7 linked regions of the Coturnix japonica genome follow. The protein of the gene in region 4 interacts with the protein of the main gene of each other region in a pairwise test. Links are inferred from orthologs where the notes say so. Each region holds a gene or a part of one and is shown on either strand. Other genes may lie near its edges.

Region 1 (3,500 bases), on a different chromosome or scaffold from region 4:
CAGAGGGTTGTTAGAATTAGGGTACTATGGTGAGGCTGCAGTTGGACTTGATGATCTTCGAGGTTTTTTCCAACCTGGGTAATTCTATGATTCTATGATTGACTCTGTCAGTATAATTTACAGAACTAAAGCTACATTGCAAGTAAAACATATATATTTTTTAATACTAGAAAATGAGAACCATCTCATTTTCCATTTGTATCCTAGATTTATATATATCACAAGGAAGCCAGTATTTTGATACACTGAATATTTATTGTCTTTCACAAGACAAAATGAAGGTTCCCCTGCCAATGAAAAGCCATCAAGATGACGGTTAAGGGGACAGGGTGCCAAATTCCAGTGTACAGTATACGCAACAAATGACCGCCCTGACTACCCGGAATAAAGATGATTGATCTCACTGCAACTAAAAAAAACAAAAAACAAAAAAAAACAAAAAAAAAAACAAAAACAACAGGATTATAAAATATTTACAGAAAGGAACAGTACAGAAAATAAAACCATGTGTGTATGAAATGCTGCTAATGTTTTTCTGGCTCCTTAAAAATTGGCTCCACTACCCTCACCAGAGCATTCAGGATGTGAAAGGATTCGGGAAGAGCAAAGACAGCCACAGCTCCTACACCCCCTCCACAGATCACCGTCACCTCCTCCAAGGAAGTGGGAGGACTCAAGGGAAGCAGCGTTGCCTTACTGACTGTAATTCCCTTGCTCCAAGTGGACATGCGAGCTCTGAAAGGAAGTACCTGGCTGCACCTCACCTGCAGCAGCCTCTATTCAGATCGTACTGGCAAGTTAACCCATGGGTAGGGAACCATTCCCTGTCATATGAGCCCTTCCATTGCTGGCAGAAAGACCTTTCCCTCTTCCTCTGTGGTGGCCTGATCTGTGCTCAGAGGGCAGGAAAGCTGATTGGGACAGGTCAGAGAAGACCTTCCATTTCCTTCATGAAGGCTTCATACACATCATCCTTTGTCTGTACAGAGATAGGGGCAGACGATCCAGCCTTAGGGGCAGCTTTGGTTAATGGGAGAGCAGGCTCATCATCTTGTTTTCTCTGGGAGGCAGCCAATGCCCCTTTATTCTCCCTACGCACTCGCAAGGCAGTGGGCACAAAGCGAGTGATTTCTGCCTTGGGGTTAGTGATCTGTGGCTTGGCACTGATAGTAGCCGTAGCCTTCTTCTCAATAGTGGCAGCACTGGTGTCATCCGCCTTGGGACGCTGAATCAAGCTGGGTGGGGCACTCAGAACACCCGGGTTTGGAAGAGGAGCTGGTGGATAAAGCCCAGGCGGGGCAGGTCCTAATGGAGGCACCAGAGGTGGCCGCAACATGCCCGGGCGAGGAGGAGGGATACCTGGAAAGAAGAAGAAAAAAGGTGAGCTGACTTTATCTGGAATTGCTAAAAGTCTTTGACAAAAATAATGCAAAATCTCAGCCAAAAACTGTCAACAAAATGCAGAGGCTCTGGCTTAAGAGAAAGGGAAACAGGGAGAAGCATTGCACCAGTAGATAGCTCCCGACAAGAAGGTAGAAGATGTATTAGGACAAGAAAACTGCTCAGCAGACTTGGAAAGCCACAAGAACCTGTATATTGCTCCCTTTCCACTTTCAAAGTTAAAAAGCGAAAAGCTTCCTTGAAGATTTATCCCACTGGAATTTCAAAATCAAAAACACGTGACTATTCAGCAAAACAAAAAAAGTCCCAACACACTATCACCTATTTAGAAACAATGCAGCACAAATTTAAACACTGAAATTACTTATTATAGGTGCCAGATCTCTTACTACCAAAATACACATAGCGATATGGAATTATTTGTTATAATACATAAAAAGAAATGGCAAAAAGGATCAACCGGAAAGAACCTAAGGGCGTACCTTTAGCTGCACATACTAGGACAAAGGCAATCTGGTAGTAGGGAACTATTTAACGTCTAAAGGAATATCTGATTCTCCAATTAGATATACTGACTTGGTCACCACAACAACGATTACAGAGAACTGGGAAGACAAAGTAGGGAAAGACTTGGCTCCGAGTACTTTACCTGGTGGGGCAGGAGGTGGCAAGCGAGGAGGGGGCCCACGAGGAGGAGGGCCTGGGGGCAGACCAGGTGGGGGACCGGGGGGAGGGCCTGGGGGTCTCCCAGGTGGGGGACCTGGTGGTAGAAGTCGAGGTAAAGGCCCACGCAGTCCTGGTAAACCAGGAGGTCTCAGGAAAGGAGGAGCTCCTGAAAGCATACACATAAGAGATTTAAAACTTCAGTTCATGGATAAAAGAACAATCCCACCTGCTAATAGTGAAGATTTTCAACAGAAGCTTCAGAGATATTTTCAAAGTAGCCAGCTGTCAGATTAAACAGATCTTCTACAAAGTCTCAGGAAGAGACAACAGTTGTAGAACCAAGAAAGCTTCTTGGTTATATTAAAATACAAACATTTTCTCCATCTTGGGAGAAGGCTTTTCCCCATGTATTGAATCAACAGTTGAGAATGGCTAATAAACTAGGGTTATCTGAACTTAAATAGCTAGAAATGAAAGTATTTCAGTCTTTTCATGCTGTTCTTCTGGCCTGAAATGTATAAAGTAATTTCACTCTACTGAAAATAGCTGCTTTGAGGTTTGAGGTTCCCCTTCTAGGGGATGTCAGAAACAAAACTGTTGGAAGACGTTACGAAAACCACACTGACCATGGAAGAAACCTCACAGGTCTCAGCAAATACCACACTGGTCTTCTGTACTTAATGTCTAAAATGCTCCGCAGCTTCATAACCCTGACACTGATAAACCATCTGTAGTACTGAGAGCCTGCATTCTTCAAAACAAAACAAATCAAATATTCACCTGGTGGAGGGCCAGGAGGGAGGCCAGTGGGTGGCCCTGGGGGCCTCAATGGAGGGGCTGGAGGTGGTCCTAGTGGAGGTGGCCCAGGCATAGGAGGTGCCTGTATCTGACTTGAAGCAACGGCTTGCGAAGATTGCTGCTGTGTTGAGGCTGCAGTAGACGACCCAGTCTCTGCAAGAGCTTCCTCACTATGTTGCTGCTGCTGCTGCTGCTGTTGCGATGTGTCTTCAGACTCTGAGTCTTCTTCATCCTCCTCCTCTTCTTCTGAATATTCTTCCACTTCCCTCCCTTCTTCTGGGATTTCCTGACCTGGAAACAGACACGTTAATAAAATCAGTCCACAAGTAATAAATTTGGCAACATAAAACACTAAATAAGAATGAAAAGAAATTCCCCTCAAAGGAATGAAAACTGATTATACTAATTAATATACACAAAATGCAAAAAAAAAAAACAACTAGATAGTTCTGCTTTCCTGTGGGAACTAAAACTTCTATTAATAAATCTGAACTGCAGTTATTTGAGTTTGTGGGAGATAAAACTTTTAAAATAGAAAATATCACAGATTATTTATTCCCCAAAATAGACATAACCACCACTTCCAAGAAACCCATCTTCTCCCAGCTTCCTTTCTCCTCTCCCCTCCACCCCAA
Region 2 (4,225 bases), on a different chromosome or scaffold from region 4:
CACTGTAGTGTATCCCTGGAGACTAGCAGCTTTACAGAAGAGGAAGGAGTAGCAGCACTGAACAGACAGGCAAGCGACATCTCCTTTTCTTTTGATCATCTGGAGAGTCTGCTATCTGACTTGAGACAGGGAAGGCAGCCCTCTGCATTAGAGATGCACCCCTGATTATAAGCCAACTGCCAGCAGAGTACTGCACTTTTCTTTTTGCTGGGAGGCTTATGCAGTGCTACAGGGAGCCTCACTTCTTCCACCTTTCCACACACCTCGTGTTTAGGAAGACTCCCACGTCTGCAGGCACCACCAACAGTCAGTCAGAACATTAGGTCCTTATGTCAGTAATAGGGCCCTAGCTTTTCGTATCCTGAATAGCTTGGCCACTCGGCAAACAGACCATAGGCGCACCGAGGACTCCCAAACTGGTCAAAGGCACTGCTGAAGTCTGGGCTGCACGGGGGGCGGAGGGCTTCCTGGGCAGACTTCAGTTCTGAGCGTATGATTCTGTAATTTGTGCCCCTGTTGCTGTCCCAGTACACCTTGCCATTGCACTCAAAGGAGACGGCAAACTCAACTCTTTCATGGGATTGAATTCCATCGGGCAAGCTGATGTCGAAAGAAAAAGTGTCCCGATCTGATCCTCCGTACGTATCCTTGACATATTGGCACGGGAAATCTACAAAGTTTTTCCAGGTGTCAAATGTCATCCTGATCCTCACGGACTTTTCAAAAGCCAGATTCCTCACTTTCACTGTGCCCACAACAGAGCGCTCCTTTAACATACAGTTTTCAAGGCACACGCAGTCTGTCTGAAGACGGTTTCTGAAGTCCAGGTAGTCTGCAGAGGGCTGGACAAAGTCCAGGACAAAGCTGTCCCTCTCTACTGTTGTCAGACTCACAATGTTGTCGATCAGCTCGGTGATGTTGAAAGGAATATCTAGAGGATCATCGAACTCTGAGAACACCTTCACCATTGTCAGAGCAAAGCCTCTGCTATCCGCAAACGACACCTTCTTCTTCACCTTGTTGTGTGTGAAGGAGTTTTCTGCCTCTTCTGGTCCAGTCAGTACTGCCTTGCTGTTCAGCTGGATGCACGGCCGCAATGGCTTGTTTGGCTTTGGGGCAATTTTGCAGGCACACCTCTCTCTTCGCAAGGGTGAGGAGCACAGGTACAGCTGCATTGCTACATCCACAGCCATTGCTTGTTTGTGAGGAAAATAGTCTATTACACTGAAAGATCAAAAGAAGGAGCAGTTTATGTCAGAGAAGCATTTCAGTGACTTGTCAGATAGTTGCTACACTATTCCCCATCCATCCTAAAGAAGCTCAGTTTCCATCACCCCCAAAGTCCCTCAAGCTCTGTCAGAGGCCAGTACTTGCTTGACTTACAGATATGTTGGGAAGCGTGCTACCACAGTGCTGTGGCTCAGCCATAGCCTGTTACATCCCCTCAAGGGCAAGACAACTTCCCATTGCTTGCTACAAAGTCACCATGCTAAGGCACATGCAGTCATCACCCTTTTAGGCTTGCAATAGCAGGCTCTGGAACACCTCTGACTTAAACCAAAGATCTGTGGCTACTTGGTCCTACTGATTCTCACTTTACACTTATAGAAGAGCAACTTTCTTCCCACTTCGCACTTTAAAACAGGTATCAGGCAGCCAGAAGGTTCCTCCTCCACGCAGAATGCACACCTTAAGCCTACAAAACACTTAAAGAAACATCAGTGTAGCTAGAGCAGGCAAGCTGTGTGATGTACTCAAGGCTGACAGAGGCTTTGGAAATAAGCCCTCCCCTCAGAGGCACAGATTGCGTGTCTCTCCACCACAGCATCTCCTCCTCTAGCATCCAGCTCCCAGTGACACAGCACAGTCCCTCTGTGCACCCATATCTTGAAGGCAGGCTACTTCCTTAATTAAATTCCCTGTTTGGCTGCAGACCATGTTCCAAAGCCGGTCTCACTGCTAGAGCAGCAGCAGCTGACCGCACAAGGGCTCGTGCTGCCAAAGCCACACACAGCCAGCTATAGGACTTGATAGCTGTCCCTGTGCCAAGACAAAGCAACAGAGCTGCTCTCTCCAAGTCTGTGCTTTACTTTCCCACCCTGCAGCACCAACAGGGCAGCCCTCCATAGCATCCCTTCAGCAGCAGCACTTGCTTACGTTAAAAGGCATAGACAAAGGTTTGCTTCCTAACACCAGCTACCTCCTGCATTTCTTCTTTAAGCCTTCTTTGAAGCTCAAGGGCACCTGCACAAGGACAGACAGCGGATCCACCTGTCTGCCAGCACCAAGCCGTTCAGCTCTTCCTGGTTTCACTGGCTTTCTCACATATGTCATACAGCTCATTTCCTCCTTTCAAACAAACCAAGGACAACTTCACCTGCACCCCCTCCCAGCAGCAGCCATACACCTGATCTCCCATTCAGCGCTCAGGTACTTCTGTAAGCCTCAGTAACAACCAGCATTTAACGTTAAGAGGCCAGGAGCATCCTGCCTGCTTTGCACGACTTGAAGCACATCCAACTTGAAAACCAGAGGAAAGGGAGCGAGCAGGACCACCCCTTTCAGAAGGGGAAGGCTGCATTCCACTCACCACCCCCCCTCCAACTGAGCCCAACCCCGTATCAAGCAACTCCCACAGCACAGACCTGGTTACCCCCACGACCCCTACAGGATACCCCCCGTGACACAGCCCCGTCCCCCATACAGCCCGTACCTGACGCAGCGCATGAGCCCGCTCACACAGCCCCAACCCCGAACCACCACCTCTAACAGGGTGGCCCCACAGCGGACCCTTAAAGGCACCGCCCGCCCCTCCCTCCCTGCCGCCTGACCAATGGGTGCCGTCCTCCTCAATGGAACCCTCCTCCTCTGCGGCGATGGGGCTGGATGTGTCGTACCCAGCCGGGTGGGGGGCTGCGCTCGCTGGGGTGGGTTGGGGGGGGGGGGGGGGTGTTTGGGGCGAGCATTGGGGGTTTCTAAAAGCCAGCTGGATGCCTGGGGTCTCCTGAGGGAATTTCCTGTGCCTGAGCAGGCGTTGTGAGCCTCTCTGGTATGAAACTGGTGCAACCCCGGGGGGTTTTGCCAGCAACGAGCAGCCAAAGGTGACAGGAATGCCCCGAGGCCTTCTCAGGGGGCTGCTGTCCTCAATAAGGTGTTCGGTTTGCACTGAGGGGTGGGGTGGGGTGGGGTGAGGAACGAGGGTTACTCACACTTTCCGTCCCATAGCTGAAGCTCTGGGGCAGAAATGCCAGGAGACGTTCCCAAATCGCATTTCCTGACAAGATTTAGGGCACGGAGTGGAAAAACTGAGCTTCTCACAGACACGAGAAAGTCGTCTCTTACAATGACAGTGTTATGAACAACCACCTGCGGGAGCCAAGCGGCCGGCAGAAGCCCATCCCAAGGCAACTCAATGCTCCAGCGGCGACACCTCCTCCTCGCCTCCTGGGAGCTGGGAATGGTGACAAGGCTGGGAGTAACAGCCTCTTGTTGGCCTCCGAGCACACCAATGTGAGCAGTGCTGCTCTCCCGCCTCCCTCCCAGAGCATAAAAGCGGTATTGAAGAGTCAACATTTGTTTTTAATTAGCCGGTGGAAGCAGGCATGGCTATTGTTAAACCCAGAGACTTCCTGCTGTAAAGCTGCTGCTTAATCAACTCGCTGCTCCGCGATGCAAAGCGATGCAAAAGGGTTGTGTTGGGGGGAAAGACCATTGTTTTAGCCTCATAGGTTCCTGCTTTTAGATAAAGGCAATGATAAGGAAGCTGGGGAGAGAAATCTACTGCAGGTCCCTTGGAGATGTGGATCAGTATTTTACATGCCAGCGGCAGTGTGGAATTTCAGCAGGGCTGATTGGCGACAAGGTTTGTGCAGGGATGCGGGGTAGCAAGGATTTGCCCAAGAGCAATGGACAGAGGCCCCAAAAGGCCCTTGGGTCTGCACAGCCATCTCCAGGCAGCGCTACCGCAGCCTGGCTCAGCACGGTGGCTCAGGGTGCATTTCTGTCGCGTGATAGAAGCTCTGTTTGCCTTGTGCAGGGCGAATTGCTTCACAACTGCTGCCTACTGTTTGCCTCTGAAGCAAAGGTAGGTGGAAGCCAGGGCAGGGCATTGTGGCGGGCTGTGGACACAGGCTCTTATCTTTTGGGAGCAGAGATAATGGCTATATTTAGCTTTGCACTGAGCCCTTGCACAGTGGTCTTACTGATTTCCCCATAGCTTTCCACC
Region 3 (4,076 bases), on a different chromosome or scaffold from region 4:
TTCAACAAAGTTAAAGCAGCAAGGCAGATTCTAGACTTGTTTGGCTCATTTCGACATGACTACATTTTAGGATTCAAAGGGACCCCATGAAGTGCCCTCTACAGAGGCAATCAGAACTTGCTTAAAAACACCACTGTGTGCTTTTCTATAGGGCACAGTGCTACTTTGAAAGGTTGAAAATGCTTTAATATATTCATCCTGCACTAATGCCAAAACCTGATATGAGACTTTTAAACTACATATTTTATATAAGAAATGAGTGCAATGCTTCTTTGCAGAAGGTGGGCGTATCGATTAATACAGACCGAATTTCACAGAACCATCCACATTTTCTAAAATGACCTTAGAGTTACATAAGGAAAAAGAGAAAAACAGACATTTTTTCTATTATTTTCAGGAATAGAAGAGGGTTTGGTTTGTTATTTCACTATAAAGGGAATATTTCTAGATGAAAAACTGGATGCAGGGCGTATATCACACTGTGCTATCCAGATGCACAGAAATATCTGTTTGTTGTCAGTCATTTTCAGAGTTCCTGACTCCTTTTCAGTGTTGAATCACGGTAACTCAAAAGTTTGGCTATCAGGGCAAAAGGGTATAAATGAATTCCAGTATCTTTAAAGCCTCCCTTAAACAAAGCATTCAAGTCTTATCTGTTTATTTGGCTCCTTGGGAACTTAGATTGTGATATAAATGGCTCATTTAGCCGTCCTTTGGGAATTAAGATGAGCCACTTAACTCAAAAGGCTTGGAAGAAATTACAGTAACTGACACTGAAAATGTGTCAAGATGGCAATAGTAAGCTCTCAGAAAAGTACAGATTACCCTTACTATCTTAATTCACTCCATCACATTATGATGCAGCTTTGATTAAAAACTCCATATTCTCCTACTTGTTTTGGGTGTGTCTTAATCAAAGCCAGAGGGGACAGCACACAAAATGACGGACTTTAATTGTTAAGAACCACAAACTGCCTCATTGGCCTCTGCTTTCAGAGATGGCCAAAACACATTTCCTTTGTATAAAAACAAACATAAGATGCTATTTATGTTTCTACAGAGCCAAAAAATGTGAGTGAACAAATGACTGCATCAATGGAAAACGCTCTGGTACAAAGTTTCATCCTTAAAACCTGGCAGACGGACCCGTGGGGCAGTGGGAGGCTGGACCGAAAGGGGATTTATCACACTCGGCTATTTTAACAGGAGAGACAACGCCATATAACCCAATTAGGGGCGGTGCCAGCACAGCGCTCAAAACCCACCTGGTGTTACGGGTCGAAACTCACGTGTAATCACAGCAGGGAGGACCGTTCAGCAGAAGGATCACCCCAAAGCACCTTCATCCTTTCCGACCAAGCTCCCATCCCGAACTACAACAGGCTCAACGTAGCTCATCCTGGGGGTCACTCACGACTTCGCAGCCCCCTCTACCGGGCGGGGCGGAGCCCCCCGTGAATCACATGCTTCTGGGAGAGGGCGGAGCTTCGATGCTGCTTACACCTGCGGTGTCCTCCTCCTTTGTGCAGTGCAGGTGCGGCACCTCACACCCCCTTGGCGTGACATCACGCTGCCGCTCGCTGGGCACGATGGGAGAATCCCGATGTTTTCCGACGGATGCTCTGAGCGGCGCGGCGAATTAAGGCGGCTCCGGGAGCGACACGCGGGGGCTGCGGGGCTCCGGACGGACGGACGGCTGGCTCACAGCTCTGCTCTCACCCAGCCCTGCGGGTGGCATGGCGCACACACCCCCTGAAGAGGCCGCAGCCGTCCTCTGAGCGCCTCGGTGCCGGTGGAGGGCCCCGCCGCATCCTACCGACGGCGCCGGGAAGATGCTGCCGCTGTTGGCGCTGCCCGGCTGACTCCTCGCCGCCGCGCCCCCGTCCCCATTGTCCCCCCGGCGGCCGCCGGCTCCATGAGCGCCTCCTCCTGCCCCCGCCTCTGAGCTTCCCTCCCGCCGCCTCATGGCTGCATCGGAAGAAGGGCCCGGCTGCTTTCTCCCGCGAGGCAGATCGCAGAGTGACCCCAGCATCCTCACCGAGCCCGCTGGCCCCGGGGCCGGGGAACACGCAGGTAACGGCCCCGCGCTCCGGGCAGTGCCGGGGTGGGCGGGGGGCGCGTCGCGATCCGCCTCCACTTTGCAGCCCTCTGAGAAGCGGGCAGACTCTCGCTGCAACGGGCTCCGATTCGGTGTCGGGGCTCGGCAGAGCCCTGCGCTCGCAGCTCCCATCCGGAGGCGCGGCTGGAGGTTACCGGGGCTCTGCGGGGAGCGCCGCACCTGGGCTGCCCCGAGAGCGTGGGGCGGGGGGGGGGTAGTAGGGGCTCCCAGCGCAGAAGGGAGTGGGCTGTTTGCGTGCCATCGCCATGGAGACAAGAGGCAGCGGGGTCGCAATTAAGCGCTTTCTCCCCTTAAGAAGGTAATTTTCACTTCATGGGGAGAAGTGTAATCTTCTTACCAAGTGTGGCCACAGAGGGTGGTGCCTGGGGGGGACACGGTTGAAATACCAGCAAATAAACGGAATATTCTGATTAGATCTATGTATTTTTCCCCCTTTAACACTGGCTAATGATGTTTTTAGCTTAACTCCACTTTGAGGAATGATTCTAAATGTCTGTTGGCGGTGAGTCAGTAATTGCAGATGTCAGCACCTAAGCAATGACGACCCCTTTAGAGGAAAAAGAAACAAATAACCGCATCACTTCAATGTGATGTGATCGCAAAGAAAGGCCCAACAATAAGCTGGGAGCAAAGGCAAAGAGCCAGTTTATTCTGGGTTTATGTAAGGAGACAATAATGCAAGCCCTGTAAGAGAAAAGGAGTAATGAAAATAGCACAAGACAATGAATGGACTGTTGATACTCCCTGCCCATTACACTGAATTCTAAACCCAGAAATAGGTTTGGGGTTTGAGTCAGGCAGTGTCAGCCTAAAGAGGTAGTCCAAAACTGCATTTGGGGACTAAAATCTAGTTCTGGTTTATTTCAAATTACTGAATGAATAAAACATTCCAGTCTCTTTTTGGTACACCTGCCACACTGTTCCCTTCTGGTCCAACGTGTATATTAATACATTCATATTTGTAACTATTTTAAGTTTTCTCACTTATTGGTTTTATCAAGTAATCCTAAGCACCTTGGTCTAGAATGAAATACAAATTAAATTAAGCAAAACAATAGATGATTTGTCTCTAATGCCCAACAGTTCCAATTCCTTAAGTAAAGGGAACAAAGGACTCTAACATGAACTGCTCCACTCACTCCCAAAGGGGCAATCTTGACTGAAAGGAATGTATGCTTCTACCATTTGATTTCTGAGAGCAGAAGTGACTAATGAAAGGATTATATATTCAGTCTCACTTTTAATTCCCCTATGTTGTTTTCTGCTAGGCAATTACTTGGATCTTTGTGAAATATACAACAAAGAAAGTATACAACATGTCTGACACACAGACAAAGATATTTATATTCAAGTTGGTTTTGTGTGCGGAGAAAGAACTATCAATACTAAGAAAGCATTTTTCCTCCTCTAAAACAGACTTTATCTGGTAGGACAGTGTCCCATTGCATGACAGAAGCTATAGTAACATGCAAGAAAATATGGCTTTTAAGGTATTATAATAGATATACAGTATGTGGAAAGAAATAAAAGGTGCTAAATACATATGGGTTTAGTCTTTGTGAGTAAAAATAATTAGTGGTAGAGTTGCATGTTCAATGAGCTTTTTCAGGTTTGCTATATACTGCTTAAATTTGTTTATCAAATAATATTGAACATCTGCATGTTCCCACCTGATAATAAAACAAATATTTTACTCTTATTCTGAGTAATCACGCAAAAGCCTGAAATCTAGTTTATACTGCTGTAAGAATGATGTGTGGTTTAGCATTTAATGGATTTTATCTTACAATGTTATTCTGAAATATTGTCATTCTCATTGTATGATCAGAATAATCATCTATGGACTCTTCAGTCAAAAGCCTTAAGTAAAACTAGGAGTATTAGGAGTGCTGAAAGGTACCTGAAGGGTACCAAGTTTGTGTTTACATCCCAGTCCTGCTCACAGACTTGCCTATTA
Region 4 (3,976 bases):
CGCTCGTTGTTTTTTGGCTCCGTGCTGACACCGGGGGGGCCTGGCCCAGCCCCCAGCCAGGAGGTGCTGGCAGAGGACAGCGATGCCGAATGCTGAGAGCCCCCATTGCGATGCCATGGCGCAGCAGCTGGCACTGCCTGGCCACGTAGGGTGTGATCCTAAAGCCACATCTTAAGACCCATTACAAGTTTATTCCCCAAAAAAAGCCTCCTGCCCTGCCTTCACTGCCAACTGAGGGGCGGGTCCTGCCCCAGAGGGTACATTTGGTACAGTAGAAAGCGGCAAGGGCAGGATCTGACAAATAAAAAAACGAATGGAGAAAGGAGCGACCTGGTGCTGGGGCTGCTGGCGGTGGACACTCACTTCTTGGCTTTGGCAGAGTTGCGTGGTGGGGTGACGGGGCGGCCAGCAGGGTTCAGCCCACTGAACTGCCCGTACTTGCCCTTGTTCTTGTCTGCTGGTTTCAGAATCTGCAAGGAAGTGAAGGGTGAGTGAAGGGGCTGCAGGCAGAGCCCTGTGTGCTGCCCCCTCCCCGGCAAAGCCCCAGCTCACTTGGAAGGAGCACATGAGGGTCTCGTCCACACTCATCATGGCTCCTGCGTTGTCAAACTCCCCGCAGTAGTTGGGTGCAGAGAAGAGGGTGACAAGCTGGCGTTTGGCAAAGAACTCGTAGCCGTCCTCCACCACCTGTGGGGCAGCAGCACTCATATCTCCCTGTTCTCTGTCCATAGAGCCCACCAACTCCCCCAGGGGGCAGCATCCCCTTCAAAAGAGCCCAACCACATCCTCAAGAGCAAATGGCCCCTCCTGGGAAAAGCTCCACCGTTATGGAGCCCAGGTGAGGCCCGACCCCATTACCTGGTGTGCCCTGCAGATGAGATCGAGGTCATGCTTGTGCAGGAACTTGGCCACCACCTCGGCCCCAAAGGTGAAGGACACTCCTCTGTCATTTTCACCCCATCCTAAGACATCTTTGTCAGGGTCAGACCACAGGAGATCACACAGCAGGCCCTGGTCGGGTACGTCCGTGGGTCGCATGATGCGCCGGATCTGTTCCATCGACTGCAAGTCAGGAGACAGCCCTGCACAGGAGTGTCAGGTTATGCTGTGTGGCGGCCTTTGGACCCAGGCGGCAGCCCCCAGCCCTGTGCCCACCTCCGTGACAGCAGAATATCTTCTCATCCACAATTGCTGCAATTGGTAAACAGTTAAAACAATCGGTGAAGGTTTTCCACAGCTTGATGTTGTATCGCCGCTTGCCTGTGAGGCAGCGGGGTGGGTGCTCACAGGAGCCCTTCATGTGGGCCATGTTCCACCCTCCCCACCCTCTGGTGTATCACAACACACACAGGGCAGCACTGAACCCTCCAGGGGGCTGGGGGGGTGGCCGTGGAGGTGGCTGGGATGGGGGTATGAGGTCTGCAGGAGGAGGTAGCTGGGATGGGGCATAAGGTCTGCAGGAGGAGATGGCTGGGATGGGGGCATAAGGTCTGCAGGAGAAAGTAGCTGGGATGAACATAAGGTCTGCAGGAGATGGGAAGAGCTGCAAATGGGGATGGAAGGGGGGACTTTGGGCTGGCTGTATCATATGGGGTTGGCAGTGAGGTGACAAGGCAGTCCCGTTTGTCAGTAGTGGGGCCGGTGCAGCACTCACACTCATCATAGAAGCCGTAGATGCGGTTGATGCTGGCACATTCGTGGTTGCCACGCAGCAGGAAAAAGTTCTCCGGGTATTTAATTTTGTAGGCCAATAGAAGACAAATTGTTTCTAAAGACTGCTTTCCTCTGTCAACATAGTCACCAAGGAATAGGTAGTTGCTCTCTGGTGGAAAGCCTCCATATTCAAAGAGCCGAAGCAAGTCATAGTATTGTCCATGGATGTCGCCTGTAAGAAGATCGCGGGGGACACGCGGTGACGCTGGCTCCCAGCCCGCCCCCTTCCCCTCCCCCCGGCTCGTCGCTCACCGCAGATCTTGAGCGGAGCCTCGAGCTCCAGCAGGATGGGCTGGCTCAGGAATATCTCCCGTGACTTCAGGCACAGCCCCCGGATCTCGTTCTCTGTCAGCTGCACGTTCTTCCCAGGCCGTGAGCCTTGCACTGTGCGGGGGTGGCTTTCAGCAGAGCCCACTCCACCCCCGGAGCCCGCAGAGCCGCCGTGCCCTAACAGTCCCGCACTAACGCACGGCCCTCCCGGTGCCCCCGGCCCTCTGCAGCCACCCCCCATCCGCCCCGATCGCCCGCAGCCCCCCTCATTCCCACAGCCCCCAGCGGCTCCCACCGCCCGGCTCCCCCCGGCCCCCCGCTGCCCCGATACCCCCCGCTGCCCCACAGCCCCACAGTTGGACCCCCAGAGCCTCGCACGGCCCCCGTTTCCCCGCAGGCCCCGGCCCGCAGCCCCGTTCTCCAGCCCCTCCTTGGCGGCACAGCGCCGGTCCTTCCCTCCCCTAGCGGCTCCCGAGGCGGTCCGGGAGCACTAGGCCCATCGCTCACCCTCCAGGAGGCGGCCGATGATGGAGTCGAGGTTGAGCTTCTCGGTATCCGCCATGGCCGCCGGACGCTGCTTCCCCCCCCCGCCCTGGCCCGCCCCGGTCCCGGCCCCGCGGCCATAGAGAGCGGCCGGGGCGAGCGGCGGGTGGCGAGAGCGCCCCATGGCGGATGGGAGGCCGCGGAGGCGCGTGGGGGCTGCGCGCTCCCACGAGGCGGCGCCGTGTCGTTCCCCGTGCCGGCCGGTTGCCCGGCGGCTGTTGCCGTTGTCAGCCTCGCGGCGCGTGGGGAGCCCCGCGGGGACGTGTGCCGAGAGACACGGTGCTGCCACCGGCTCCACCCGCCTCACTTGTGCCCCTCGTGCCGCCGTGCCGCCCCCACGTGCAGTACGAGCCGCGCGGTGCCGGCACAGCCTGGCCCGTTGCCCGCGGTGACACCGGTGACATTTCAGCCCCGCGGTGTCAGCTGCGCCGCTGTCCCCGAACGACCCCGGCAACTGTCCCCGCTCCGCTGCCGGCTGCGTGTCCCGCTGCTCGTGTCCCGCCTCCCCGTGTCCCCCGATCCGTGCGGCCCCACGTCGCGGTGTGCTCACATCCCGTGTCTCCGTGCCCCGGCTCCTCCGATCTACCCGTCCCCACCCCGACGTTGCTCTGTCACCACGTCCCCCACTCTCAGATCCCCCTTTTCCCGTATCTTCCCTTATCTCCGTATCCTCCGATTTACCCGTCGCTACGTCCCCGTGCCTCGTATTCCCAAATCCCCGTGTCCCCGGATCCCCGTAACCCCACAGATCCTTCTCCCCGTGCTCCCTCGTTCCCCATCTCCATTTCCCCATACGCCCCAGATGTTCTCATGCCCTCGCATCCTTGTCTCCACGCCCCATAGTTCCCTCACACCCCACACCTGATACCCCGCACCCCTGAATCCTGGTGCCCGCACACCCCGCACACCCCCCATTCCCTCTCTCCCCCCCTTCCCCGCCCCGCCCCGCGCCCTCCCCCGGGGACGCCCTTCTGCCACCGAAGGCGCCTCCGCCGCCGGTGCAGAACGGGCACGGCTCCGCGGGCACCGCCGCCACGACCGCCCGAAAGCGACAGCGACCGCCGGTGGGTGCAGGCGGCGCCCGCTCCACGCGTGTCCGAGGGTGTTGGCGTGCGCCGTGCTGCGCGTGTCCGGCGGTGAAATCGCGGGCAGCCGTTGCGCTAAGCCGGGGGACGTGCGGGGCGGCACCGAGCGGCGCCGGGGACGGGCGGGTGGAAGCCGGGGACAATAGGGCTCTGTGCCGCTAAGCCCGGGCACGGGGCCGCCCCACTGCCAGCGGCCACGCGTGACTGCGGGGCACGGCTCTTCCCGGTGGGGCCGTGTGGCCGCACGCCTCAGTGTCCCTCCGGGAGCACGGTGGCACGGCGCGGTACCAGTGGGGCCGACGGTGCGGGCTGCGCCCTGCTCACCGCGACCCCTCTCCCGTCTCTCGCAGCCTCCCGACGCCCGC
Region 5 (4,046 bases), on a different chromosome or scaffold from region 4:
CCTGCGCAGCTGCTTCTGCCTCTTCAGGATGGAGGTGGCTGCGGGGAGGGAGGAGGGATGGGATCGGGAGCCCCACTGCCTCCCCTCACTGTCACCCCTTCCTGCCCTGTCCCCTCACTCTCTCACTGTCTCCATGTCCCACCCCCATCCCCTCACTTGGTCACTCTTTGCTGTCCCCATGTCCCGGCCCCTTCACTTTCACACTCTTTCCTGTCCCTAAACCCTGTCCTCCCCCCATCACCATTTGCTGTACCCACATCTTACCCCCATCCCATGTCCCCATCCTCATCCTTTTGGCTCTACCACTGTTTGCTGTCCCCATCCTCACTCCTGTCCCCTCACTGTCCCTGTGCCCACCCCCCTTCCCATCCCTCCCCCCCCCGTGTCCTCCGACCCCGTATCCTCACGTTCCCCATCTCCGTGTCCCCCCCCATCCCCATGTCCCCCCGCTCACGGATGAAGCCGCTGGAGCTGGAAGGGTTGACGCTGTCGCAGCTGTCGGCGCTGTCGCTGTTGGAGATCTCATCGTCGGAGTTGGACGCCGGGGAGCCCACGTCTGCATCCTCAAACTTCCTCTTGAGGCGGCCGCTGCCGATGGCATCCATGGGGTCAGCGGGGACCTGCAGGATGGGGATGGTGGTGGGGGGTGTCTGGGGGGTCCCCATAACTGGACCAACACCATTGGCAGAGCTGGGCCCATGGTGTAGCAATGTGCAAAGCCGCCTTCCCCACTGAGCTCTGCATCTCCTGCACCCAAACCCCCAAGTGTGGGGTGTCCTCAGCACACAGCAGAGCTCAGCCGGCAACAGGGCTGTGCCTGGGGGGGCTGGGTGGGGGGATTTGGGGACAGGGACATGGGCAGAGCTGAAGCTGCTCAGCCCCGCTCTGCTCTGCTCCATCACTGCAGCAGCGACGGTTCTCATGGCAACAGAACAAACGGCTCCGGAGGAAGCTGTCAGCATCAGCATCCGTCTGTCTGTCCATCACCCGACTCTGTACACCCCGCCATCATCCAGCTGCCATCCATTCATCCTCCTGTCCGTCCATCCCTCCACCATCCCTTCTGTCCACCCTTCTGTCCACCCATTAATCTGCCCATCAATCCATCCATCCATCCATCCCTCCATCCCTCCACCATCCCACCCATCCCTTACCCACCCCTCTATCCATCCATCCCTCCACCATCCCACCCACCCCTCATCTCCCCGAGCTCCTCCTCACGCTGCTGCTCCCATCCAGGTGTAACACAAGGCCGGGGGGGGGGGACACAACCAGCACCTCTCCCATAACGAGAGCCCTTGGTCCTGGTGGTGTCCTGGTTGACCTGGTTAACCTGGTTAACCCACAGTTGGCCACTGGTTGACCAAGAGCTGAGCAGAAGCCAGCAGGGTGTCCTGGTGGCCATGAAGGCCAATGGAAGCCAACTGGTTAACCAAGAGTTGACCAGTGGTCGGCTATGGGGTGATCACAAACCAGCACTGTGCCCTGGAGGCCTGAAGCAGCTCCCCACTCTGCTCTGCACTGGGGTGGCCCCATTGGAGCACTGGGCTCCCCAGTTTAGGGCAGACTGGATCCCTCCTTGGGATCGGGGATCTCCTCTTTGGGATCAGGGGATCCCACAGCTGAGCCCTGTGGATGTTCCAGGCTGCAGCTCACACAGCAGCAGCACTTACACAACATGCGTTGCAATGAGCAGCAGTGCAGGGCTGCTGGCAGGCGGGGGGGACAATGCAGCCCCCAAAAGCAGGGGGCAGTAAAATGTGGGGGGGGGGGGGTCCTAGAAAGCTGGGGATAAAAAACAGGGGAACACTAAAAAGCTGGAGACTAAAGGAGGGGTCCCCAAAAGGAAGGGGGTCCTAAAAGGGGAAGGGATAAGAAAGGGCAGCCCCCAAAAAGCAGGAGTGGAAAAAGGGGCAGCTCTGAAGGTGGGGGGGGGGCTCCTATTGCTTCTATCGTTCCATCTTCAGCCCACCCCAACTGTAACCCCCCCCCATCCCTTACATGCTTCTATATTTAAGGTCTCCTACGTGACCTATAAGCCTCCATACACACCCTATAGGCTCCTTATAGTCTCTACATCCTCCCTGTTCTCAAGGCTCCAACCCCTATAGGTTTCCTACAGGCCTCCACCTTCACGGCCTTCATCTCCTACATCCCTCCATCATTAGGGCCCTCACCTCTTACAGCCCCTATAAGCCCCCATTCTCCAGGCCCATCCCCCATAGGCCCCTATAGGCCTCCATCCCCACCACCCCTCCATCCTTAAGGCCCACACTCCTCATACACCCCCTATGTCCTCTATCAGCTCCCATCTTCCAGCCCCCCCAACCCCTACAGGCTCCCTACAGCCCCTATACACCCCCCCCATCCCCTATAGCCCCCATCCTTAATGTCCTCACCTCCTATAGACCTCCTATAGGCCATAGGCTCCCATATCCCACCCCTATAGGGCCGCCTACACCCGTCCATCCTCAAGGCCGTCATCCCTTATATCCTTATATCCATCTTTAAGGCCGTCACCCTATACATCTATAGGCTCCCATTTCCAGCCCCCCCCCTTTATCCCTTATGGACCCCCCTCAGCCCCAGAGCCTCCCACCTTCAGAGCCCCCATCCCCTATAGACCCCCTATAGACCTCCTATAGACCCCACACCCCCCCACTCACGTCTCCCCTCGGTCCCGGTTCGGTCCCGGTTCGGCGGGGGGCGGCCCGTGTCTCCGTTTCTCGGCCCGGTCGCGGCCGCGCGGCCCGCCCCGCCGCCGTCTGCCGACAACAATGGGGCCGCGCCTTATATACCGCTAGTCACGTGACATCAAGCTCCGCCCCCTACCCCCCACCCGCGAGGGGTGACGGGAAAGCGAGTCCGGGAGGGGCGGGAATGGAGTGCGGAAGTGGGAGACACCCCCCCCCCCCCCCCATCCCAGCCCCATTCACAGCTACAGAGTCCGTACAAAACTTTACCGGACCCGGCTCCGTTACACAGCGGGATGGGACCCGAACCCCCGGTACCGACCCCGGTACCGCCCGAACCCCCCGGTACCGACTGGAGCGGATCCACATCCTGCACAACGAGCTGCGGTACCGCTGGGCCGAACCGAACCGAGCTGAGCCCCATTGAACGCAATGAGTCCATCTGCAGAACCGAACCGGGTCCTCTCTGCAGCCGAACCGCCATTGGGCCGAGCTGGGGATCACACGGAGGCGGGGGGGGGCGGCTGCATTGGGCCGAACCGAACCTTGAATTGGGCTGAGAACAGCTCCGAGGTGAGTGGCACATTGAGACCAGTGAGCTGAGCGTCACATTGACATCAATGTCCCATTGAGATGAGATGAGCATCCCATAGAGCAACGCATCCCATAGAGCTGAGCTCAGGGTCCCACTGAGCATCCCATTGCATTGAGCTGAGTGTCCCATAGAGCTGAGCATCCCACTGAGCTCAGTGTCCCATTGAGCTGACTGTCCCATTGAATCGAGCTGAGCATCCCATTGAGTTGAGTTGAATGTCCCATTGAGGCTGAGTCCCAAACTCACCCCATTTCCCCCCATTTCCATCTGCAGAGCTGGGGCAGGACACAATTGCAGCCATGAGCTCAGTGCTCTGGTCCATCTCCAGGTTTCCAGCCCAGGAATGGGGGATTTTTCTCCCTTTCACTTGAAACCACAAAAACATGCAGCAAACTGCCCCCCCTTTGGGTGAGTCCTGTGGGGAGTTGGGCTGGGTGATCCCTGCGGGTCCCAACAGCGCTTCCATGGTGGAGGAAAGGAGAAAAAGCCCAACAGCCCAACTTCCATCACAGCCAAAGTGCTGCAGGGAATCCCTGCCAGGCCTCTCCCACCACCCCGTGTGTGTGATTGAGACCCGCTCAGCCCCACGGGGCCGGCAGCACCGGGCTGGTTTCCTTCATGTCCTCTCACCAGCCTGAACGTCACAGGAGCTGCTGGTAAAACGGAGCCAGGAAAAACCCTCGTGCAGCTTTGAGGTCCCAGAGCTGAACTCTGCCCATTGAGCCAGCAGTAGCAGCACCCATGGGTGCTTTGCAGCT
Region 6 (4,100 bases), on a different chromosome or scaffold from region 4:
GTGATTTCTCAGTTCCACGGAGTAAAGGAAGTTTATTTATAGATGGTCTTTTTTGTAAAACAAAATGTGTCTTCTATCCTGCCTTGACGGTGCACCAGGCTGCAGTGCAGCACGGTGTGTGCTAATTTTATTTGCTCTGTAGCATGAAGTGGTGCACATCCCAACGGCAATCAGCAGCCTGCAGGTGGAGGTGGTCCTTCTCTGGGGACCCTACCACCACCCAGCGCAGGGAGCATTGCACCATGAGCAGCAGGAGAGCAGCTGTGGAGGAGCAGGATGCAGAGAGCTGTTCTCTGGGCTCCCAAATTAGAGCAAGCACTTGTTTGGGGGCGGCCGTCCTGTGGGAGCCCAGAATCACAACTGCAGGAAGCCCTGCAGCAATCTCAGCACTACCTGAGCAACTGCTGGATGGCTGCGGCCATGGGGTGGTGGGGACAGCCACGTTCCTGGGGACTGAGCACTGAGCACTGCTTGGGATCTGCCTGTGAGTGGGGCACTTCATGGCTGACAGTGAGCACTTTTGCCCCTGCTTTGGGATGTTGGTAATGGGGTCATTCCAGGAGTGTTAGCAAAGCCTTGAGGATGCTGGAGGAAAAGGAAATCAGCCCAGTTCTAACTTTTTCACAGAAGTGATCTAAAAATAATCGTGAGCCCAGATTTCTGCTTTGGAAGAGCAGTGCTTGTTAAATAATGATGATAATAATAATAGTAAAAGTAGTAGTAATAGAAGCACTACGGGGCTTCTGCTGCCTTCGCCAAGCAGGGAGCTGCCACTGAGCAATGCCCACAGCAGTCCCTGACCATCCCGAGCACAGGTAAAGGAATGTGCAAGGGGTGAGAGATGAAAGCTGTGTGCTGCACACCCTGTGTCCAGCTGCCCTCCATCTGAGGCATTTCGGGGCCGTGCTGGATGTTTCCCTGCAGGAAACCCCAGCCCATAAGCTCCAATGGTTGGCTTGGAGGCAGGATGACCCTCTTGTGGCCCTGAGGCCCCTGGCTGTGCACCATCCCCTACTGCACAGAGCTCACAGCCGGACAGCAGTATGGGGCCTCCACGGCACAGCAGAGACAGATCTACTGCGAGTCTGTCCATGTCTGCAAGGCTGAGGTGTGCCCTGGGCTGATCAGAGACACGACACTGAGTAGTGCAGGTGGAAGAAAAGGAAATTCAGTAATATGAGCCCCAATTGAGGCAGAGGCAGGCTCCCTCTCATGCCACATCCTAATTATTTCAAAAAAGCTTTTGTACTGTTAGAGAAAATGACAGGAACAGCTTACAGCTTTAAAATTAGCCAAGGAAAGCATCCCTAGATGAAAGTAGAGTTCAGTATCTTTCATCACTGAATCTCAAGGCGTTTTGCTAGGGGCAGAAATATCCTTCCTCTGTAATTCTGAGGAAACTGAGGTGCATTTCTCCATCTCTGATAGTTACAGCCCTGCAGTGACCCATCTGATGGCTATCACAACCAGTGAACCTCCTGAAAGTTAAAGCATCAGAAATGACTCCTGAGAGTCAGGAGGGACCAGAAAGCTTCAGAGAAAAGCAGCAAAGTTTGTATAAAGAGGAAGGCAAACTGCATTTGTCTGAGCCTGGGGCTCAGTGCAGTTACTACTACGGTGAGCTCCAGAGAAATATCACAAGGAAAACAGCAGCCAGATTTGCAAACAAAAGAACAATCTCTCTTACTCCAAACATCTGTGCAGCATTACTGGCATGGCGGTTTGGCACTCCCGGCACACAGGGACAGAGCTGTGTGCTCACAGTGACGAGCGCGGGCGCTGCTTACCCCATCCGTGAGGCTCCTGGGGGCGGTGGGCAGCCGGTGCTGGGCAAGCTGCAGACCTCGCGGGGCCCTGCGGATGCAGGCAGGGGAGGACAGGAGCCCTGAGCGCTGAATGGAGCCAAAGCGGGGTGCATTCTGCCCGTACCTGACACCATCCAGCAGGCGGATGAGCAGCAGGTTGGCTGGCAGCTGCTCGATGCCGCAGAGGACGAGTGTCCTGCACTCAGGGCACCGGAGCTCCTTCTGGGACTTGAGGATCCTCTGCAGACAGGGCTTGCAGAACGTGTGCTGGCACGGCAGTACCTTGGCTGTGGCATCGAGCTTTTCGAAGCACACCGGGCACTCCAGCAGGTCGAGCAGAGCCAGGTCATCCATCGTCAGCTGAGCTGCCGTCACGGCTCTGCTTGAGACGTCCACATAGCACGGACACAGGCTCTGGGCTGCGGTAGGCACCCTGTGCCGAAGGGAGGAGGAATCAGAGCAGAGCTCGGCTGCTGGAGCCTGTACCGCATCCCACCTACATGGCAAGGCAGCGCCTCACGAGCCCGTTTGCAAATACCTACTTTGCACTCCCATCCAAGCTGCGGTGAGTCAGTACTGATTCAGGAGCGAGGGGGCCGTGCCCAGCAGCCCCGCATGGCACCGTGCAGTGGGGCAGGGCGGGCACCGTCCCTGCAGCACCCCATGGAGCTCCCAGAGCTCCTGTTCTGTTCTGTGGGCATCTGGTGGCACAGCACAGAGAGGGCGCAGCCAGCACAGCTCGGTAAGATCAACCTGAGCTGTTTACTCCCAGCTCCAGCTCCAAGCAGCCCCTCACACACCCATGCACCGCCTCGCTCCCAAGATCAGTCCTAATTAAGCTCTCTGCCTACCGGTTTTGACAGCAGCTCTATAAAAAGCCCTCCAAACACAACTATCATCCTGTTTTACCTTAGAGGGCCGTGGGGAGCTCTGTGCCGACGTCCTCACCAGCCAGGCTGCCTCAGCTCCCACAGCCCAGCAAGATTATTCCTCCCACAGCACGAAGTCACTCAACCCGTTTGGCTCCTTCGGGGCTGTGCTGGCTGTGCTCGGGCAGGCGGCTCTGGGCTCAAGTCACAGCTTGTGGGAGAGCAGCACCTTCCGTGTGCTGGCCAGGTAAGAGCAGTGCCGCCTGTGCCGAAACCTCCCCCAGAGATGGTGTGTGAACATGGATGTTTGGGGAGTGTGAGCTTCCCACCGCTGGGGCTCACCCTGCCTTGGTCATGGGGTGCCCATGGCCATGAACACCCTCACACACAGCTGGGCCAGGGCTGGGCACCAGCAGTGCTGCTCCCAGGCTCTGAGCTGCGGATGCTTGAGCAGACCAGGAGTGCTGCTGGGGATGGCAGAAGCCAGCATCATGCTGCCTGAGCATCATGGCTCTGTGTCCCATCATGAGTCCCCGTAGTGGCTCCAGCAGCCCCAGCCGTGTCCACATCCTCCCAGCACAGTGATAGGTTGGTGATGCTGAGGGTGCTGCTGCCTGCAGCACTGTGACACTCACACCATCCTCCAAACACTGGGTCACCTCCACCCTCACCATCCCAGCACGGCTTCCATAGGGGCTGTGAGGGGTGGGAGGGTGCAGTTCTATGAGATCTACTTTGCACAGCTCCATTTCTGGGCAGGCCGGGCCCATTGGGCACACTGCACCCACAGGCTTTGGCTCAGAGGGATTTGCCATCTGGCTGGGAGCTCCATGTGCAGCACCAACCGCTGCAGCAGGGATGGCCGCAATCTCAACTGTGTGTTTGCAGCCAGTGAGTTGGAGGAAAGGACTGTAGACCCAAAGGGTTTATTTCTGTTTGGTGCTTTTACACACAGTGCAGTGGTGTTGAGAGTGCAGGACATTTCAGCTCTCTGGGGAGGGCTATTTCCAGCAGCATTCAGCAGCCACAGTAGATGTGCTCCTTTCAATATCTGTTCCCCACAGAGTGATTTTGGTGGAGAAACTTTTAGTTTTAAATGGTGGCCATTTGGCTGAATTAAACACTGACATCTTCAGGATAATGCACAGAAACAATTACTTCACTCTGTTTCATCTCAGGTCTCCATTTACCTTGGTATTTCTTTGTAGTCTGTCATATGTTTGATTGGCGCTTGGCTGACAGTGCACGCTTTGTAATGAATGACGTTGAGATCAACATCATGTGTTGGGCTGCTGCTTTAGAATGCAGCGTGTGACATGAGCCGCACTGAGAACAGGTTTGGAAGTTTGTTTTTTGTCGTGTTCTTTTTTTTTTTTTTTGTTTTTTACATATTCTTTTCTATTTCTGTGCTGCAGTTCATACACAC
Region 7 (3,500 bases), on a different chromosome or scaffold from region 4:
TCGTCACCCAGCTCCAGTGCCACACAGTCCGGATGGGTTTCACCCTGTGCTGGTGGCTGCCTGTAGTGCTGGGGGCTGTAGGTGCAGTTCAATGAAGGCGAGACGCCCAGTGGGTCGGCAAAGACGCTGTGCTGGAAGCTGGGCACAGGCCAGTCCTTGTCACTGGGCTCAGCGTGCTCCTCGTCCAGCAGGAACCGCTCGGGGCCAGGAGATGGCACATAGCCGTGCTGCTCCTGCCCCGTGTAGGGGTAGTACTCGGCACACTCCCACGAGCCCTCACCCGCCGGCACGTGGCCCAGCAGTGGCTCCATGCTCAGTGACGCCGTGGGGCTGCTGTCCGAGTCATCCCGTGCACCTTGGGTTCTCCAGCAGGACGCAGAGCCACGCTCACCCTCAGGGCTGTAGGAGCACATGGCGTAGTCCATCTCAGCGCTGCCCTCGGCCGGGCCCTCGATGCGGATGTAGTACTCACTGCCAAGCGAGGGGCTGTGTGCGCCCAGGATGGGCACCATGCTGGGTGGTGGAAGGCTGGGGCAGCCGGACTGCTTGCATTCATAGCAGGAGGGTGAGACCCCCAGGCTCAGGTGCCCCGCGGATGTCGCTGGGTAATAGAGTTCATGGTAACGTGCAGCACTGCTGGGGCTGAGGGAGCCCAGGGGTGCCTGGAAGTGCTCGGTCTTGGTGTGCTCCCACTTGTACTCAAAGTTGAGGCCGTGGCTGGTCTCCATCACGGTGAGGATGTCGTCCCCGTCCGAGGGGAAGCCGTCAGCTGAGAAGTGCTCCAGTAGAGGGAAGGAGGACAGCTCAGTGCCGTGGTGGCTGCCACTGGCACCGCCGTTGGGTTTCATGGAGTTCCAGCGCTTCTCGAACTCCTCCTCCGCCTCCGTTGCACCCTTGGCACAGAGGTAGGAGAGCAGCAGATGCACCTCCTCAGCTGTTGGGCGCTGCTCAGGCTGCAGCCAGCAGAACTGCATCACTTCATACCTGGTGGCGACAAGGAGCAGGGCTCAGCACCGTGCCCACTCCTATGCCAGAGCAGTGGCTGTGCACCCGCAGGGGGATGGGGAGAGTTCCTCACCAGCGCTCCGCCAGCGACAACTTCAGCTGGGGCTTGGGCAGCTTCAGCTGCTGCTCCTTGATGGCGTAGGCAAGCACCTGCCGGTCGGAGTAGTGGTCGTAGGGCTGACTGCCCAGCTCAAACAGCTCCCAGATGGTGACACCCAGCGACCTGCAGGAGTGGCGTGATACTGGGGGCACAGAGAGACCCCCAGCCCGCAACCGGCTGGCATCCAGACACCACACACCCTCCATGACCCCCACCCTGCTCACCAGACGTTGCTGGCCTTGGTCTGGTCCACAACAAGCAGGTTGCCATGCACCTCGTCGATGAGCTCGGGCGCAATCCAGCGCAGCGGCACCCACAGCTGGTCGGCCGTCACAAAGTAGTCGTCCTGCCAAGTATGCAGGGTCAGTACGAGAAGAGAACGTCAAAACAACACGTAAAGGACAGGGCACACCACCACCTGCTGCCACCATGCTCCCCAGCCCCACTGCACCGCCACCCCACGGCCCCAGCCCCATCGTGCTGCTCCTCCAGGCTCACACCTCCTCCCAGTACCCACTCAGTGCTCTAGAAAAGCCCATGGGGAAGGGAAGGGAAGGGAAGGGAAGGGAAGGGAAGGGAAGGGAAGGGAAGGGAAGGGAAGGGAAGGAAAGGAAGGAAGGGAAGGGGGAAGGGAAGGGGAAGGGAAGGGAAAGGGGGGAAGGGAAGGGAAGGGAAGGGAAAGAGGGGGGTGTTTGGGGGTGTGTGTGTACAGAGAGCTACAGGCAAAGCCATAAGCATGCACAGAACACCCCTGAGCCCCCCCCCACCCCAACTCAGGGGGTCCCAAGCACAACCCCCTCCTCACCCTAACCAGCCTTACTTTGTACTTGCAGTGTGAGAGCCCGTAGTCCCCAATCTTGACGGTCAGGTCAGCGGTGAGTAGGCAGTTCCGCAGGGCCAGGTCGCTGCCAAGCAAACCCCAGTGCTGTCACTACCCCATGGGGGGCACAAGGCACCCAGGGCCCGGGAACTGCACTTGGGCAGCCCCAGCAGCACTGCTGCCAGTGCAGGGAGTGGAAGGGTTGTGTGACAGCAGAACGCTGGGTGTGCCGATCAGCAGCCACCCAATGCACAGCAGGAATTCCTGCACAGCGTTCCAGCTGCGCCTCTGTCCATCCGTCCATCCGTCACGCGCTGAGCCAAGCGGAAAGCAGGTTTCCCCAGCAACGTGAGCCCTGGCACTTCTTAGCCATGAAGGCAGGCTCCCATAGCCCCGGAGGGGTGCACACAGATGGGCTGCACATCAGGACAGTGTGGATGCATGTGGGGACAACCCTGGGTGCACCAAGGATGCCCAAGGGAAACCCCTCTCCAGCACTGCCCTCCCCCCACCTTCCTCCCACTGCAATGCTTCCAAGCAGCCAAGCTGGGAAGGTCCGGTGGCCCCGATGCAGCGCTCCCCTTCCTCAACAAAATCACTGATGCTGGAGTCTCTGTGTGCAACTCACTCAGCACCAGGATATTGTTGGGCAGGAGGAGCAAGGTGGGGCGGGTACAGCCTGGGGGTTGCTTAGCACATGCCCCCCTTCCCCCCCACCGCACCGCCCAGCCCTACCTGTGGATGTAGTTGTTCCTGTGCAGGTGCAGCACACCGCAGGCCACCTCACACGCCATCCTCTGCAGAGTGAGTGGGTCTGGGGCCATGGAGTCAGCCCCCCGGCAGCTCCTCAGGTATCCCTTCAAGTCACCCTGCAGGACAGTAGCACTGTGACCACAGTCCCCTCTCACACCCAGCATGTCCCAGGGCCAAAATGCAGTAAGCATGGCACAGCAGTGCCACGTACCACCCCACAACACCGGCTATGGCACTCACCAGCGGGCAGAACTCCATCACCAGCAGGTAAGGGGTGACCTCGGCGCACTGGGCCAGGCACTGCAGCAGGTTGGTGTGCTGGAGGGCCCTGCAGGGCAGAGTGAGGGGCATGCTGGCACCATGGGGGGAGCATCCCTGGTGCCTCCTCCACAGCGCGGGGGCAGCTGGGAATGGCTGTAAGCGGGTACCAGCACGTCCCAGCACCCCAGTGTACACCACAAAGGGACATTTGTCTGGCTCTCATGGGGCATGGAGCAGCTCTGTGCCTCCCCCCACCATACTCATGACCTCACTGCAGCCCAGGCCGGACACCAGCAGCGTCCTGCAGGCAGCAAGCCCCAAAACAGAGCTGAGCTGCAGCCCAGAGAGCTCAGCCAAATGTGGCACAGAGGGGCCAGCCCACAGCATGGGGACAGGCTCCATCCGCAAGCACCCCCCCCTCCCAGCAGCTTGTCTCAGCTCAGGAGCACCCCTGGCCCTACCTGTAGGGCTGTGCTTCCTCCAGGAACTGCATCTGGTCCTGCACGCTGGCGCTGGCCTTCAGCTCCTTCACCACCACCTGCGTGCTGCTGATGCCCGAGT

The links.
Region 1: the proteins of PPP1CA (region 4) and WBP11 interact in binary tests that used the Homo sapiens proteins (3 or more experiments, as listed by UniProt). The link is inferred for Coturnix japonica from reciprocal best matches to the Homo sapiens genes PPP1CA and WBP11.
Region 2: the proteins of PPP1CA (region 4) and PPP1R3B interact in binary tests that used the Homo sapiens proteins (3 or more experiments, as listed by UniProt). The link is inferred for Coturnix japonica from reciprocal best matches to the Homo sapiens genes PPP1CA and PPP1R3B.
Region 3: the proteins of PPP1CA (region 4) and PHACTR3 interact in a two-hybrid assay, tested with the Homo sapiens proteins (2 studies listed by BioGRID and IntAct). The link is inferred for Coturnix japonica from reciprocal best matches to the Homo sapiens genes PPP1CA and PHACTR3.
Region 5: the proteins of PPP1CA (region 4) and CSRNP2 interact in binary tests that used the Homo sapiens proteins (3 or more experiments, as listed by UniProt). The link is inferred for Coturnix japonica from reciprocal best matches to the Homo sapiens genes PPP1CA and CSRNP2.
Region 6: the proteins of PPP1CA (region 4) and SH3RF2 interact in binary tests that used the Homo sapiens proteins (3 or more experiments, as listed by UniProt). The link is inferred for Coturnix japonica from reciprocal best matches to the Homo sapiens genes PPP1CA and SH3RF2.
Region 7: the proteins of PPP1CA (region 4) and AATK interact in binary tests that used the Homo sapiens proteins (3 or more experiments, as listed by UniProt). The link is inferred for Coturnix japonica from reciprocal best matches to the Homo sapiens genes PPP1CA and AATK.

The regions. Positions count from the first base shown.
Region 1 is NC_029516.1:43,750,990-43,754,489, reverse strand, and holds the end of WBP11 (WW domain-binding protein 11), read right to left. Parts: intron 3,157-3,500; coding exon 2,848-3,156; intron 2,234-2,847; coding exon 2,051-2,233; intron 1,360-2,050; coding exon 926-1,359; 3' UTR 236-925; downstream 1-235. UniProt on the Homo sapiens protein: Activates pre-mRNA splicing. May inhibit PP1 phosphatase activity.
Region 2 is NC_029519.1:44,186,802-44,191,026, forward strand, and holds the start of PPP1R3B (protein phosphatase 1 regulatory subunit 3B), read right to left. Parts: upstream 2,801-4,225; 5' UTR 2,728-2,800; coding exon 2,714-2,727; intron 1,225-2,713; coding exon 333-1,224; 3' UTR 1-332. UniProt on the Homo sapiens protein: Acts as a glycogen-targeting subunit for phosphatase PP1. Facilitates interaction of the PP1 with enzymes of the glycogen metabolism and regulates its activity.
Region 3 is NC_029535.1:5,949,616-5,953,691, forward strand, and holds the start of PHACTR3 (phosphatase and actin regulator 3), read left to right. Parts: upstream 1-1,276; 5' UTR 1,277-1,964; coding exon 1,965-2,073; intron 2,074-4,076.
Region 4 is NC_029520.1:170,044-174,019, forward strand, and holds PPP1CA (serine/threonine-protein phosphatase PP1-alpha catalytic subunit), read right to left. Parts: upstream 2,801-3,976; 5' UTR 2,651-2,800; coding exon 2,491-2,650; intron 2,098-2,490; coding exon 1,966-2,097; intron 1,886-1,965; coding exon 1,655-1,885; intron 1,261-1,654; coding exon 1,156-1,260; intron 1,083-1,155; coding exon 859-1,082; intron 688-858; coding exon 553-687; intron 471-552; coding exon 360-470; 3' UTR 172-359; downstream 1-171. Other genes in the region: cell cycle checkpoint control protein RAD9A, read left to right, coding at 1-96. UniProt on the Homo sapiens protein: Protein phosphatase that associates with over 200 regulatory proteins to form highly specific holoenzymes which dephosphorylate hundreds of biological targets.
Region 5 is NC_029544.1:1,405,370-1,409,415, reverse strand, and holds the start of CSRNP2 (cysteine/serine-rich nuclear protein 2), read right to left. Parts: upstream 2,801-4,046; 5' UTR 2,667-2,800; intron 621-2,666; 5' UTR 606-620; coding exon 455-605; intron 39-454; coding exon 1-38. UniProt on the Homo sapiens protein: Binds to the consensus sequence 5'-AGAGTG-3' and has transcriptional activator activity. May play a role in apoptosis.
Region 6 is NC_029528.1:484,795-488,894, forward strand, and holds the start of SH3RF2 (E3 ubiquitin-protein ligase SH3RF2), read right to left. Parts: upstream 2,801-4,100; 5' UTR 2,715-2,800; intron 2,569-2,714; exon of another isoform or gene 2,348-2,568; intron 2,338-2,347; exon of another isoform or gene 2,239-2,337; 5' UTR 2,160-2,238; coding exon 1,788-2,159; intron 1-1,787. UniProt on the Homo sapiens protein: Has E3 ubiquitin-protein ligase activity. Acts as an anti-apoptotic regulator of the JNK pathway by ubiquitinating and promoting the degradation of SH3RF1, a scaffold protein that is required for pro-apoptotic JNK activation.
Region 7 is NC_029533.1:5,062,921-5,066,420, forward strand, and holds part of AATK (serine/threonine-protein kinase LMTK1), read right to left. Parts: coding exon 3,401-3,500; intron 3,007-3,400; coding exon 2,919-3,006; intron 2,795-2,918; coding exon 2,661-2,794; intron 2,011-2,660; coding exon 1,926-2,010; intron 1,470-1,925; coding exon 1,330-1,469; intron 1,229-1,329; coding exon 1,079-1,228; intron 985-1,078; coding exon 1-984. UniProt on the Homo sapiens protein: May be involved in neuronal differentiation.